4 linked regions of the Macaca fascicularis genome follow. The protein of the gene in region 1 purifies or fractionates together with the protein of each later gene. This does not show direct contact. Links are inferred from orthologs where the notes say so. Each region holds a gene or a part of one and is shown in the gene's direction. Other genes may lie near its edges.

Region 1 (3,500 bases):
TATTCTTTTGGTAAAGCTTCTAGCTTGTATTTGTTTATTCATTGAATTATTTTACTCTAGGATACCTGTTTTGTCCTTTTTTATGGTATTTATCTTCTTGTTGAATTTCTTATTCAAGTCATGAATTGTTTTCCTGATTTCATCAAATCGTCTAGCTCTATTATCTTGTATCTCACTGTAACATTACTATTTTGAAATCTTTTTCTGTCATTTTGTATATTTCTCTATCATTGGGGTCTATTACACAGGAATTATTGTATTCCTTTGGAGGTGTCATGTTTCCTTACTTTTTCATGTTCGATGTATCCCTATGTTGATTTCTATGCATCTGGTGGAATAGTTGCTTCTTCCAATTCTATGCAGTAGGTTTTGCAGGGAAAGAAATATTCATATGAATGGATCTTGGGGTGTTGGTTTAGTGGGATGCATTGGTTTTGGTTCCAGGTGGGCATAGTAGTGTAGTTTTTGTATAGTTTCTTCAAGTGTAATCCATGCTAGTGATGTTTGTGAGTGTCTCAGTGGCCTCAGCTGAGAGGCTTTGTGGTGGTGGTGGCATGACTTTGCCAGGGATGTGCTCACTGGGCTATTTGTCAGGTCAACGATGCATGCATTCACATGGTGGGTTGTCCAACTTGGGGTCTCACTTGCTGGGGTTGGGGTTGCTTCCCTTACTCTGGCTGAGGGCACAGTTGCTTGGTTGCTTGGCCAGGCTGGGAGTATGCCTGCCAGAGGTGGCCTGTTGGACTGTTTCTCAGGTTTGGGACATGGGCACACTGCTGCTCAGCTCTCCTGGGGGGAATGCCTGCTGCAGACAGCCCACAGGGCTATTTCTCAGTCATGAGAGGTGGGCATAAGGCTGCTTGACAGCCCTCTGGGCATGTCTGCCGGGAGTGGCCTGAGGAGTTGCATCTCAGACCTGGGATGTGAACACAGGGCTGCTCAGCTGGCCTAGGGGAGTTGCTGCTGGGGGTAACCCATGGACTGTTTTTCAGGCCTGGGATGTGGACATAGGGCCACTTGGCTGACTTGGGGTTATGTCTGCCAGGGGCATCCTGCAGGGTTGTTTCTCAGGCCCTGATTGAGGTGGGGAGCCTTTCGGTAGGCTGGGGGCATGTCTGTAGGGGGCTGCACTGCCCGACTGTGTCACAGATCCTGGATGCAGAAGTGTAGTCACTGTGCTAGCCTGTCAGTTGCACAGGCCTTCTGCTTGCAGGGGGGTATACAGCAGTTTGGTTGGCTCGAGAGTGGTTTGCCCTGGGTGGGACTGTTTCTGTGGCTGAAAGTGAGGATGGTGGTTTTCCTTCAGTGCAGGACCAGAGTCACAGCCATTCCTGGGGCCTGGGGTGTGGAGTTCAGCCACCTGTGTAGGTTTGGTGGCATGAAGATGGAGTCCCAGTGCTGGAAAGGTGCAGTGGCTACTGGCCCCAAGAGGAAGGCACACTCCAGAGGGAGCTGTGGTCTGAAGATGGCGCCATGCTGTAGTAACTTGGCTCATGGGGTGGGTGGGGAGTGGGGTATATGCCTAATCTGGGGCAGTGCGACTGTACGAATTCCCAGCAGCTCTCCAAACTGGGCTCAGAACTTGCAAGGACTGGGGGATCCTCCTGTAGTAGGGACTGTAGGTGTTTGCCGCGGCAGTGGAGGCAGGTGGAAATCTCCTGCTTACCTTTTCCTCAAAGGGAGAAGGCCCTCATATGTCCAGGCCTACCCAATCCTGGTGGAAGAGATGGGGCCACGGAGGCTGGGGGCCTTCATGCTGCCCTTCTAGACTTTCAATCACCACAGGGGCCTCTCCACTTCCCCACTGCAGTCCAGTGCTTTCCCACACTGAAGTCAAATCTTAGCTGTTTATTCATTGCCTTTGTCCTTCCGTAAGAAAGTGGGGGGCAGGTGAGCACCAGGTGCCTCTAATCAGCCATCTTGCTGATGTCCCACCCACCATTTATTCTATGATTTTTCATGAATCTGATGAGAGCTCTAAAGTGAATGTTCATCTCTTCGTTGAAGTGGTCAGAAGGTGGTGTCCTGGACAAGATGGTCTTCTCAGCTTGGACAGAATGTGGACAGGCAGGGAGAGGAGAGGAGCTACTTGAGAGGAGGAGAATCCTGAAAACATGGGGATTGAGGTGGAAATCATGTGTTTCCTGATCCTTAGATAGCGAGACCAACTGATCTGGTGCAGAAAGGGCACATGGATTGTTAGAGGGAGTAAGGTTAAGATTGACAAATCAGAATGTGTTTATTCTGTTATGAATGCTACATTAAAGTCACAAAATTGGTATTGAAACCCTGCCTGTGTCTGTGAGCAATCAAATACTCCTTTTTTTTTTTTTTTTTTGAGACAGAGTCTTGCTCTGCTACCCAGGCTGCAGTGCAGTGGCGCTATATTGGCTCACTGCAACCTCTGCCTCCCAGTTCAAGCAGTTCTCCTGCCTCAGCCACCCAAGTAGCTGGGATTACAGATGCCCACCGCCAAGCCTGGCTAATTGTTTTTGTGTTTATTAGAGACAGGGTTTCATCGTGTTGGCCAGGGTGGTCTGGAACTCCTGACTTCAGGTGATCTGCCCGCCTCGGCCTCCCAGATTGTTGGGATTACAGGCATGAGCCACTACGCCTGGCTCCAAATATCCTTTAATGGGAAATTATGTGGTCTCTTTAAAAAAAATAAAAATAAAAAAAATAACATTGTAATCTGTAGTCGCAACATTGTATCTGCTTGAGAAATAATATTTGTACCTTTGGGGTCACATAGCCTCTGAGACAAACTTTGTCCTAATAAAAAGGCTACTGTTTAGCCTTCTGTTTTTGAAATTTAAGAACCTCATTTATTACCAACTTCTCTTAGGATTAACTCAAACATTTCTTAGAGGATTAGTACAAATATTATGTTCTCTCATCATCTCTATAACAGGCTGTAATTCTGAGGACCAAGCTTGTGCCTATTCATCCCTGTATCTCTTCCAGCACTGAATACAGTTCCTGGCATAAACTCAGGATGCAATAAATTGTGTTTGAATTGAATTTTCAAAGCATTCAAGGCTGGCCACCTCTGCACTTGGTGGGAGTAATTTGCATTTGAGCTGCATGTTTTGAGATATATCAATATCGTTTAATATTGTTCTTTAGGTCCAGCCTGATGAGTGAAGAGGCTAAGCGAGGAGCACCCAACCCTTGGCTCTTTGAGGAGCCAGAGGAGACCAGAGGCTTGGGTTTTGATGAAATCCGGCAACAGCAGCAGAAAATTATCCAAGGTACCAAATACCCTGAGGAGTGTGGGCTCAGAAACCTTGCCAGAATTTTTTTTGTTTTTTTGAGACAGAATCTTTCTCTGTCACCCAGGCTGGAGTGCAGTGGCGTGATCTTGGCTCACTGCAACCTCCACCTCTTGGGTTCAAACGATTCTCCTGCCGCAGTCTTCCGAGAGGCTGGGACTACAGGCGCGTGCCACCATGCCTGGCTAATTTTTTGTATTTTTTTAGTCGAGACAGGGTTTCACCCTA
Region 2 (3,500 bases), on another chromosome or scaffold:
TAATTACATGCTCCTCCTAAGATGTCATCTCTTGTTCATGCTTTGAGAGTCCAATTATGCTTTTGCAGCTGTGGTTCTAATGGGTAATACACATGCTGTTGTGCTATGTAGCTAGAATAGAGATCTTCCTTTTATTTCTTATTTACTTCTCTCAGTTTGACTTGAAAGAAACAGGTATATTGGGAAGGGGAAGAGGGAGAATAGACTGTATCCGTAAGTAATGTGGTGACATTGGCAGTACTGAACTTGCTTATACATAGATAGAAGATAGAAGTAAAAGTGATGTTGCTTATAACCACAGTAAGTTTTATATCTTTTATTCTACAGTTATTTGTTTCATTACATCTGCCAAGACAGGATTGTATATCTTTGTATCACTGATGATGTAAGTAACTTGAAGACATATTGCTATTTAACTATGTGTACTATTAATACAGCCAGTTCTTTATTATCTACACCAGGGGTCCCCAACCCCCAGGCTGCAGACTGGTACAGGTCTGTGGCTTGTTAGGAACCAGACCACATAGCAGGAGGTGAGTGGCCTATGAGCATTACCACCTGAGTTCCACCTCCTATCAGATCAGCAGCAGCATTAGATTCTCATATGAGTGCGAACCCTGTGATGAACTATACATCCGAGGGATCTAGGTTGCATGCTCCTTATGAGAATCTAACTAATGCCTGATGATCTGAGGTGGAACAGTTTCATCCCGAAAACATTCCCCCTCCCCCAGTCCTTGGAAAAATTGTCTTCTACAAAACCGGTCCCTGGTGCCAAAAAGGTTGGGGACTGCTGATCTGTACCTATGGTGGGCAAAGGTGATGCGAACTTTACATAGCTGGAATTGTTAATATTTTGCATTTGTCATATAGAGCAGCAAATGATAAGAAAACTTGATACTGCGGTATGTGCAAATCAGTTCGATTTTGGTAGAGTTTTAGCTTAGCCTGTTGCAACTTCTATATTCTATTTTGTAGTGAGAATTGGTGTTCATAATTATAATTCTTTGATATCAAAACCTCTCAAAAATTGTTTACCTGGAATGTTAAATTAGATAACGTCATTCCTTCTATCAGTAGTTAATGAATTCTTTCATGTGTGTGAACTTTGGAAAAACAAAATTACAGTACATTATGATCAGCTATATAAACCTGTAGTTTACATTGGCTAGGTATGACTGTCGGCTCTCAGCCCAAAATTCTCAGTAACTTAATGATGTCATTAAGGTCCTTTCTCTTCTCTGCTTTCCTCCGTGTCTCCTTCTTCCCAGACAGGTTGCCATTATGGTTATGTAGAGCTACATACTTATTTATTCATGTCCAGAGAAGAGGGACTGTGTCTTCTTGAGTGTCTTATTGTAGGAATGAGGAAGCTTTTCCCAGCTGCATGCCCTCCCCTCCCCCTTCTTTCAAAGTGAACTTCCTTTCATGTCTTATTGGCTGCATGCTCATTTCTAAACTGTCTACTGACAAAGAGACATGGAATTGGCATGGTTGCCATAGATCAGGGTTCCTAATCTTTGTTGTATCACAGACTCGTCACTTGTGGAACACTCCCAGAATGCTTTTGTTTTCTTTTTTTAATTTTCCTTTTCCAGAATGCTTTTAAATGTATAAAACACACACAATTCTAACAAAGCCAGTTGTATTGAAATATATATATATGTAGTTTTCAAAATATTTTAAAAACTTGATGTAGTCATATATATGCTTCTTTATTAACTCATTAACAAGGTCTAGTCGTGGGTCTAATAACTAATAATCTTGATGTGATGGGTGTTAACAATATTTTGAGATATCTATAACTGTGATGGTATATGAAAAAAGATTTCTGTTGGTGATAGTTACAGGTACTGTTAATACTACCTTGGTTATGAATATACTACCTATATTCACAATTGAAATATAAGTTAACAATTGATAAAAATAATGATGTGATGATCTTTTTTTCTATCCAAGTACAAGGGCCCCTTGAATTTGGACCATTGACCCCAATTTAAGAACCCTCGGCTTAGACTAAGCATCTTGGGTGAAAGGGAAATGACTGTCAACCATAGTGATCATCACAATGATTTTTATCTCTGGCTTCACAATATTTTCCAAAAGTAGAAAAAAATCCAGCTATATGTGAAATGACTGATGTGAAAGAGCTTGGAGTAGATAAAAAATAATAATGAAATCTGGGATAGTCAGAGTCGAGCCTCGTATTTCTTGAGCTGTAATTTGATACACACATACACATACATACATAAACACACATACACACATTCATTTTTTTCCTCTAAGGTATTCTTCTAGAGAACACACATAATTTTTGGCTGGCTGAGATTAGACATGAGTATGTCACTTGATCTTTTCAAATGTACCACCACTATTGAAAAAATTCAATTTGAAGTTAATATCAGTAGTATTATCTGTGTGTATGAAAGACTGTATGATTATTATGGGATTTATTAAACATATTCTTGTGCTGGGCCTTCTAATAGATCCTGTAAAATATATGGAGGAAGTAAAACCCAATTCCTGATGTCAAGAAGTTGATAATTATCATTATCTTCAGTTGTCAATGACCGGATATATCTGGATTCACTCTCAGCTCTTTCATTTACTAGTTGTTGGACCTTTGGACAAGTTAGTTACTTTTTCAGGGCCTTCCTTTACTTATCTTTAAGATAGGATCATTGCTAGTTCCTCCTCATAGAATCATTGCTCAATCAATGTTAGCTATTTTTTATTGTTGTTCTTAATCACTCACATCATCTTTGTTTACTTTCTAAATGTGAGTTCTGTGTTGATCTCTTTTCAGGATTTTGAACGTTCTCGAGCCTTTAATTTTCTGAATGAGATAAAGAAGAGGTTCCAGACTACTTATGGTTCAAGAGCACAGACAGCACTTCCATATGCCATGAATAGCGAGTTCTCCAGTGTCTTGGCTGCACAGCTGGTAAGATCTTTCTCAGGATAAGGTATTTTGATTTTTATCTTCTTTATTACCTTCAAATGCTATGAATCTAGGGGGCCCTGACCTGCAATATAGTTTTCTGATTGTGTTACTGTAAGTCAACATAATAAAACTTGCCTGATTAAAAAAAATGTAAAGGAGCAATTTTAGGGTAGAAAACAGTGATATTCTTTATTATCTCTGTATTCTCTATTAATAGTGGTCATAGTGTCTCATGATCGGAAGAGCATTAAAGATCATCTAGTTCAACTACCCATCTGATGCTTAAATGTGTTCAACATGCCAAATGATCTTTTAACCTGTACATAAACCTTCTACCCTTCCATGAGGCAAATTTAATTTTCTAACAACCCAAATTAATAATTTGAAACTCTCTTCATCTGTATGAGTCCATAATTATCAGCTTCGTGAGGTTTTACATGTGTTTATACCTGTGAAATACCACTGTACTCAAGACAGCATTTTAATCTCCCTAAAAATTCCCTTATGTCGGTCCCCTCCCCCACACTCTGCCCCAGGCAACCACTGATCTGTTTTC
Region 3 (3,500 bases), on another chromosome or scaffold:
TAAGTCATTATTCTCATGTTGGTTATGTTCTATAGGTCAAATATCTAATTATACCTAAGATAAATAGACACATTTATCAAATACTGTTTATATTTTTCAAATACATGAATTGAAATACGTGTCTAATGTATAATGCATGCATGCTACTTTAACATTTTATGTCATTTGGGTACTCCTGAGAGTTATTCTCATGTGCACTCCGAGTCATTTTTCCTTACTCAGATTTTCTTTTCCATAGAGCAAATTGGTCAGGAGATGTTGGAAAACCTTAGTCATGACAGAGAAAAGATACAGCGAGCACGTGAAAGAGTAAGTATAAGTGATATAGTTTTTTCACATATTCAGTAAATGAAGACATAAATGAAAGGCATTGGGACATAAACAGTAGCAATTAGGTAGTTATATGTATCTAAGGTGAAAGAGGGTGTAAAGTCTGTGGAAAGGAAAAGAAAGAGAGTGACATGGAGCAAATAGCAGCCGACTCTATGTCCCCATCCCAGAATGCTCCCAGGTGGGTATTTTATTTACTTCTTATAGAGGAGAAGGTCACTGAGGGAGATTTTGGAGTATGTTCATCTTTTAGAGTGAAAACTATAGAATTATTGGTGGTCATCTTTTCTCAATTCATATTATTTTTATGTTTTTAGGACTGCACATTCATAAGTTGGAGATGAATTACCAAATGTTTATGAAACTTTTTCAGCCTGTGCTTTGCTTTTATATCTGGTTCTAGTATCCAGCTTAAAGCTCCCAAGATTACCTCTCATGTGTCATTCTCCAAATATAAGAATTTTCCATGTTTGTGTAGCTGTCAGAAATGTATTTATTTTTGTATATTTGAACATTTTTATTGTTTGGATTTTCTACCGTGAAATAAATTGTCACTTGCCATGCACTTTAGAAATAGTCTAATTGCATGAACTTTTGTTTTGTTTTAACATTGCTGTTCTTCTTGTAGCTTCGGGAAACAGACGCTAATTTGGGAAAAAGCTCCAGGATTCTGACGGGGATGTTGCGAAGGTAAGAGCAAGGTAGGGACCCATCTTTCTCTCTGTCTCTTTTTAAAACTATTATGTTTTCATTCAATTGCAACGGGGCATATTACATGCTTTTAAGCTTCTGCTCTTAGTGCCCTGTGTCAGGACCCGTTTGAAATAATAAAGCACTGATATTAACTCTTATTTGGACAGGGACACATAGTAACACAGATTAGAGAGAAAGCTTGAGCTAGGGGGGTAACCTGAAGCTATGGAAAAAATTAGGGTTAGACATGAAGTGTTTTTTCATAGCCTGAGGAAGGCCCCATGGCAGGAGCAGGCTGATTTTATTTTCTATTTTGATGGCCTCCTTCTTATGGAGGGAATGCAGACCTACCATTTTCAGGAGCACAGTTGCTGTTAGTTTTGCTCTGTGTTGCCTTGTTTTCATTTCTTTAAGTGACACGGTTTGGGGAAACATTTCTGTTTTATGTATACACTGAAAGATGATTTATAAAACGTCAAGATTATCTGAATAATATGTGCTAACAAACAAATGTTCATGTTTTATATGTGTAACTCAACCTTGATTGATGAAAAATATGCTAAATAGTATGAGAAAATAAATGAATGAATGCAGGTAATGTTCTTATAAGTACATTCAGCGCAAAATTATTTCACATTCAGAATCTACCACATAAGAATATCATCTAGCATGACTGTCAGTTTGGAACTGTGGATAGAAAAGTGAATGAGAAACATTGAGAATGGCCTCTGGAATAGCTTAATTAGAATTTTTAAGAAGGAAATCTTTATAGTTGATACTATAAAGACAACCATCTAAAAATAACTAAAGTCTTCTTTGATCACGTATCCATATACAATAGTTTGCTAAAAGTATGTTTGCCGTGTTACAGATTTATTACATAAGAATCAATCAAATGTCTAGTGGTTTGGTCTTCAAGACTGTTAAGATTTTTCTAAGTAGCCTGACCAGTAGCAAGCTTAAAGTTCCTGGGACATTTCCAGCCAAGGCTTGCATAATATGACATTCCTTCTCATTTTCTTGGACCCTGACTCCCAACTCAGAATCATAAGCCATCAAATTCTCTGATTAAGAGTACTAGGTAAATGGCCTAAGAAAAACTCAGAATTCAGAGAGAAGGGTAGTGGTGATTGAAAGGAATGCTTCAGTGCCTATAGACAATAAAAAAGAAAGGAAGGGGAGGGAAAAACCTCTGTTGCTTTCCTGGGAGGGCTCCTGCGTCGTGAGCTGTAACGAATATTCTGCATATGTCTCCATTTTGTCAAATCTCATTAAAGAGTCCTCCTGCTTTATGTCAATTGAGCTGTCCAGAAATCATTCATCATTTTTAGTGTAAAAAAAATGATGTGGTTATTTAAATAATATCATATTAATGTTAAAGTTCAGCTGTCATTTAATGGTATGGCTTAATCAGATGTAGCATTTAGGAAAAATAGTTTATGCGGGCTCCACGTGGCTTTCAGGTTGGCAGATTCAAATAAGGATTTATGGGTTTCGAAACCAATGTATTTCTGTCCATGTTTCTGCTTGATGTACCTCACCCTTTAGTGCAGGACACTGCAGACAGTTATTTCAACAAATAAAGCATCTCCTCATATTGTGTTTGAATAAATTTGCAAGTCATTTAGAGAGGGCGAAGCACAAACAACTTCGGCAACCTTTGACTGGGCTTTCTGTAGGGAAATCATAATAACGTGGTTGTTTCAGAAGCCTACGGAAGAAAATTACTCTGGTGAAATCTACATGGGGTTCTCTTTGTAAGCAAACTCAGTCAATCACTGACTCATCTTCTTTTGGGATGTGTCTAGAGTATGAACAGAAATAAAAATTCCCAGATGGACATCACCTTGCTACATCTGAACCAAGGGTACGCTTAAGTCCACCTGTTCATATGCATGACAATGTTTTTCACTAGGCACAGCTGGGATCTTGGTATCAGCCAGGATATTCAGATATTTTCAACCAATGCCTTGACCTGGCAATGGTCTCTGGGGACCAAATGCAGTGGTGGTTTTGTTTTAGTTTCTAATTACTGCCCCATATGATATACAATGTATTTTGGACTTGGGAAAAGGTACAAACATTTTACCAACCTCTCTGCTTCATTATTTTGGTTATCTCATGGAAAAGCTCTCTGCAGAGAAATAGAGGCAGGGTTTATGTACCAAAGCCTCTTATTGAATGCTCTGATTTTGCTTTCTCTGTTACATCCCTCCCATTCATTCATATGGCTTTCGCTTCCAGCCCTGGTGAGCTTGTATTTCAGAAAGAAAAGCCACATTCTCTTACTATTCTTCTTACCAAAACTGCATAGCTATGTCGTGTGTCAGCAAGCGCTTCTGATTTAGGAAATGCTATGATACTGAATCGTGCTCATCTGCTACCTTCACAAATGTGTAAAAGAAATGAATGTCCTCATTGTGCAGTGCAAGCATTTACCTGCATATAACATAAGCTTAATTATTTTCATATGATGA
Region 4 (3,500 bases), on another chromosome or scaffold:
TACTGGAGAGAGTGTGTCCGGCACTTTCCCTTGCCCAGCCTTCCCACAAGTGTCGTATTATTTGATAAGCCTCTTGCAGCAGGCCACAGGGATAGGCAGAGCCCACAGGAGGCTCACCACCTGTCCTGTCCCAGGGGGCTTTGCCAATGACAGATGCAGACCAGATGGGCAGCTGCCAACCGGAGCCAGAGTGAAGGGTTCCACCCAGGCCAGGGCTCCTGTCAGTGCTTTCTCTCTCTTTCTTTCTCTCTTTCTCTCTCTCTCTCTTTCTCTCTCTCTTTCTTTCTTTCTCTCTCTCTTTCTCTCTCTTTCTCTCCCTTCCTTCCTTCCTTCCTTCCTTCCTTCCTTCCTTCCTTCCTTCCTTCCTTCCTTCCTTCCTTCCTTCCTTTCTTTCTTTCTTTCTTTTCTTTCTTTTCTTTCTTTTCTTTCTTTCATTTATTTTTTTGAGACAGAGTCTGTCCCTCTCATCCAGGCTGGAGGTCAGTGGCGTGATCTCCACTCACTGCAACCTCTGTCTCCCAGGTTCAAGCAATTCTCGTGCCTCAGTCTCTCAAGTAGCTGGGATTACAGGCGTGTGCTACCACGCCCGGCTAATTTTTGTATTTTCAGTAGAGATGCGGTTTCACCATGTTGGCCAGGCTGGTCTCGGACTCCTGACCTCAAGTGATCCACCCGCCTTGGCCTCCCAAAGTGCTGGGATTACAGGCGTGAGCCACCACGCCTGGCCAGCTCCTTTTTGTCTCTCTGCTTGCCCTGTCTCAGCTCTCAAACCCCAGGCAGGGGCACGAGCCCTACCCCTTGTGTTCAGGGCAATGCTGCAGGGATGACTGTGATTAGAACAATAATAGCAGCTCCCATTTATTATGCCAGACACTGCAGGGTGGTTTAATCCACAGCCCTGTGATGTTGGCATTATTGTCATCCCCATTCCATAGTGGAGGAGAGGGGCTCAGACGAGTGACATGACTTGCCCAGGGACACGCGGCTACAAGCAGGAGTCACTGAGACCCAAAACAAGGTCTGGCTGAGCCCAGGACCTTGCCTTTTCCTACTGCCCTCAGCAAGGGGGTGGCGTTGGACCAGCCCTTGGGGCAGAGCAGTCAGGCAAGCGCCTGGACACTGGGTGGAGGCGGATGGAAGGTGCGAGGCCCCTCAGAACCTGAGGCCTCCCTGGGGAGCTCTGGGTGTGCATGGGAGAGGCTGACAGGTAGGTGTTGGCCTGGGGGCAGAGCTAGTACTCTTGGGCAGGGGTCTCAAGTCCTCCCTCCCATCCTGGTTTCTCCAAATCCTTTTGCCAAGTGACTCTGGGCTGGTCCTTCCGCCTCTCTGGCTGCTATCAGAGGCTTCCTAAGGGCCAGGGCCTTGGCCAAGTGCTCGTGCTCACATCCTCTCTGGTGTCACACCATCTGTGCCCTCATGGACAGGATGAAATTAGGCTGAGGCTCTGGAGTGGCTTGTCCAAGGTCACCAGCTCAGCCCAGCACGCACAGCCAGGCCTCTAGTGCTGGGGCCCTCCCTTCTCACCCCTGTGTTCCCCCTCCTCTCAGTGTTTTCTTCATACCTCCTCACAGGCCTGGCTGAGGGGTAGGAACTTGAAGGGTCATGGGTCAGCAGGGGTGCAGGACAGGGCATGCAGGTCATGAGTCACAGGCAGTCCCTTCCCGTGTCCCCTCCAGGGCCGATTCACGATTGCGGCCAAGCACCACATCTCCATTGCTGAGATCTATGAGACGGAGTTGGTAGACATCGAGAAGGTGAGTGGCAGCAGGGCCCTTCCTGGGCTGGCAGCCAAGACCAGCGCTGCTCTCTCTTCCCACCAGAGGAGTCCTCTGGTGTCTGAGTGCCGAGAAGGGGGCATGGGGCGCTGGCAGAGCTTGGAGAACGGGGTCTGGCTGTGTCCCAGATGGGCAGGGCGAAGGGTATGGAAGCTTCATGGAGACCTCCTCTCCCTCCCCTGCCCTCCCCTGGAACCCATCCCCCATGTCTCCCCAGGCCATCGCCCACTACGAGCAGTCCGCAGACTACTACAAAGGCGAAGAGTCCAACAGGTAGCCCCCTTCCTGCCTGCCCCAGCCCCTCAGGGACCACCACCACTTCCCCTCACTCCTCCTTCCCACACAGCTCAGCCAACAAGTGTCTGCTGAAGGTGGCTGGCTACGCCGCACTGTTGGAGCAGTATCAGAAGGCCATTGACATCTACGAGCAGGTGGGGACAGGTGGGGATGGCGGCCCCCATCCTGCCCCCTCCCAGAGCCTGTGCCTCTTCCTAAGCCCCGGCGCCTTGTTCTGGAACCACCCCTCCCCTGGCTCGCCCTCTGCCTCTTCCCGCACAGCCCTTGCCATGTCATCCCCCCACCCCATCTTCAGTCTGGCTGAACATTCTCCACCTACGACTCCATGCCGTGTCAGCACCGTCTCCCTGGCTGTGCCCCTCCCACACCCCTCACAGAGCTTCCTGGAGGGGCCCAGAGCGAGGCTGGCTAAAGAACCCAGAGGGAGGCAACGGGAAGAAGTGCCAAGAGGCCCAGGGTGGCTGTGGGCACCCCACCCCATGGCACGATGGTCCTCATCCACAGTGGGAGGGAGGGAGTGTCACATGGGGTCCCCCCAGCGTGCATGGAGCCCTGGGTGATGGCCAAGAAAAAGGCAGGCAGCTGGCCCCTGGGGAGAGAAGGGTGGGTGCCGCCTCTCATGTTCCTGCCGCCCCTCTGCCCACTGCCATGCCAGCCTCCCGTTGGTCGTGACAGCCAGGCCGCCACCTCCCCACTGTCTCAGGCTTTTGGGAGCCCTCGAACACCTGGCTACAGCCTCCACCTCCACCCAGCCACCATCACACCCTGGTCTTGGTCGCTTATGCACTGGCCACTGATCTCCCCAAGCCAGTCCCTGGCTCCCTGCCATTGGGGTCCTGGGTTAACGGCCTCACCCTGGGACATGGACCCAGCTCCCAGCTGGCCCCCCAGTGCCTGGCAGTGGCTCTAGCCCTCTGACTGCTTGCCCTGAGCTCACAGTGCCACTTCCCCATGGCTACAGGTGGGGACCAATGCCATGGACAGCCCCCTCCTCAAGTACAGTGCCAAAGACTACTTCTTCAAGGCGGCCCTCTGCCACTTCTGCATCGACATGCTCAACGCCAAGGTAGCACGCCCCATGCCCACCAGACCACCGCGCCAGGCCAGGTCCTGTTACCCCCCAAGATGGACGTGCTCCTCCCTCACGTCTGGCCCCTGCCAGGCAGCCTTTGGATGAGAAGTGTGAATCTCACAGCTATGTTTCTGTGCTGGAGTCACCTGCCCGCCCAGCCCTGGAGGCTTTTGTAGGTCCAGCTCCTGCCTCACTTAGTGCTCTTTTCTTCATGGGTGCACGTTTTGAATCCTCGCTGCATCCCATTAAAGTCAGCACCATTGTCACCTCGTCTTACAAGTGAAGGTGGTGAGGCTGGGACCAGAGTCCCTTGTTTGAGGCCACATGGCTAGGGACCTGTAGCCCCAGCGTTCCAG

The links. Proteins that work in one complex are often made in the same cells at the same time.
Region 2: the proteins of STX8 (region 1) and VAMP7 purify together in Homo sapiens (affinity purification with western blotting; 3 studies listed by BioGRID and IntAct, with this or other methods). This does not show direct contact. The link is inferred for Macaca fascicularis from reciprocal best matches to the Homo sapiens genes STX8 and VAMP7.
Region 3: the proteins of STX8 (region 1) and VTI1A purify together in Homo sapiens (affinity purification with mass spectrometry; 3 studies listed by BioGRID and IntAct, with this or other methods). This does not show direct contact. The link is inferred for Macaca fascicularis from reciprocal best matches to the Homo sapiens genes STX8 and VTI1A.
Region 4: the proteins of STX8 (region 1) and NAPA purify together in Homo sapiens (affinity purification with mass spectrometry; 4 studies listed by BioGRID and IntAct, with this or other methods). This does not show direct contact. The link is inferred for Macaca fascicularis from reciprocal best matches to the Homo sapiens genes STX8 and NAPA.

Annotation. Positions count from the first base shown.
Region 1 is NC_088390.1:9,594,952-9,598,451, reverse strand, and holds part of STX8 (syntaxin-8), read left to right. Parts: intron 1-3,126; coding exon 3,127-3,251; intron 3,252-3,500. UniProt on the Homo sapiens protein: Vesicle trafficking protein that functions in the early secretory pathway, possibly by mediating retrograde transport from cis-Golgi membranes to the ER.
Region 2 is NC_088395.1:161,936,688-161,940,187, forward strand, and holds part of VAMP7 (vesicle-associated membrane protein 7), read left to right. Parts: intron 1-327; coding exon 328-385; intron 386-2,806; coding exon 2,807-2,944; intron 2,945-3,500. UniProt on the Homo sapiens protein: Involved in the targeting and/or fusion of transport vesicles to their target membrane during transport of proteins from the early endosome to the lysosome. Required for heterotypic fusion of late endosomes with lysosomes and homotypic lysosomal fusion.
Region 3 is NC_088383.1:121,710,711-121,714,210, forward strand, and holds part of VTI1A (vesicle transport through interaction with t-SNAREs homolog 1A), read left to right. Parts: intron 1-238; coding exon 239-309; intron 310-958; coding exon 959-1,020; coding exon of another isoform or gene 1,021-1,024; exon of another isoform or gene 1,025-1,031; intron 1,032-3,500. UniProt on the Homo sapiens protein: V-SNARE that mediates vesicle transport pathways through interactions with t-SNAREs on the target membrane. These interactions are proposed to mediate aspects of the specificity of vesicle trafficking and to promote fusion of the lipid bilayers.
Region 4 is NC_088393.1:55,512,461-55,515,960, reverse strand, and holds part of NAPA (alpha-soluble NSF attachment protein), read left to right. Parts: intron 1-1,676; coding exon 1,677-1,754; intron 1,755-1,992; coding exon 1,993-2,048; intron 2,049-2,121; coding exon 2,122-2,206; intron 2,207-3,033; coding exon 3,034-3,138; intron 3,139-3,500. UniProt on the Homo sapiens protein: Required for vesicular transport between the endoplasmic reticulum and the Golgi apparatus. Together with GNA12 promotes CDH5 localization to plasma membrane.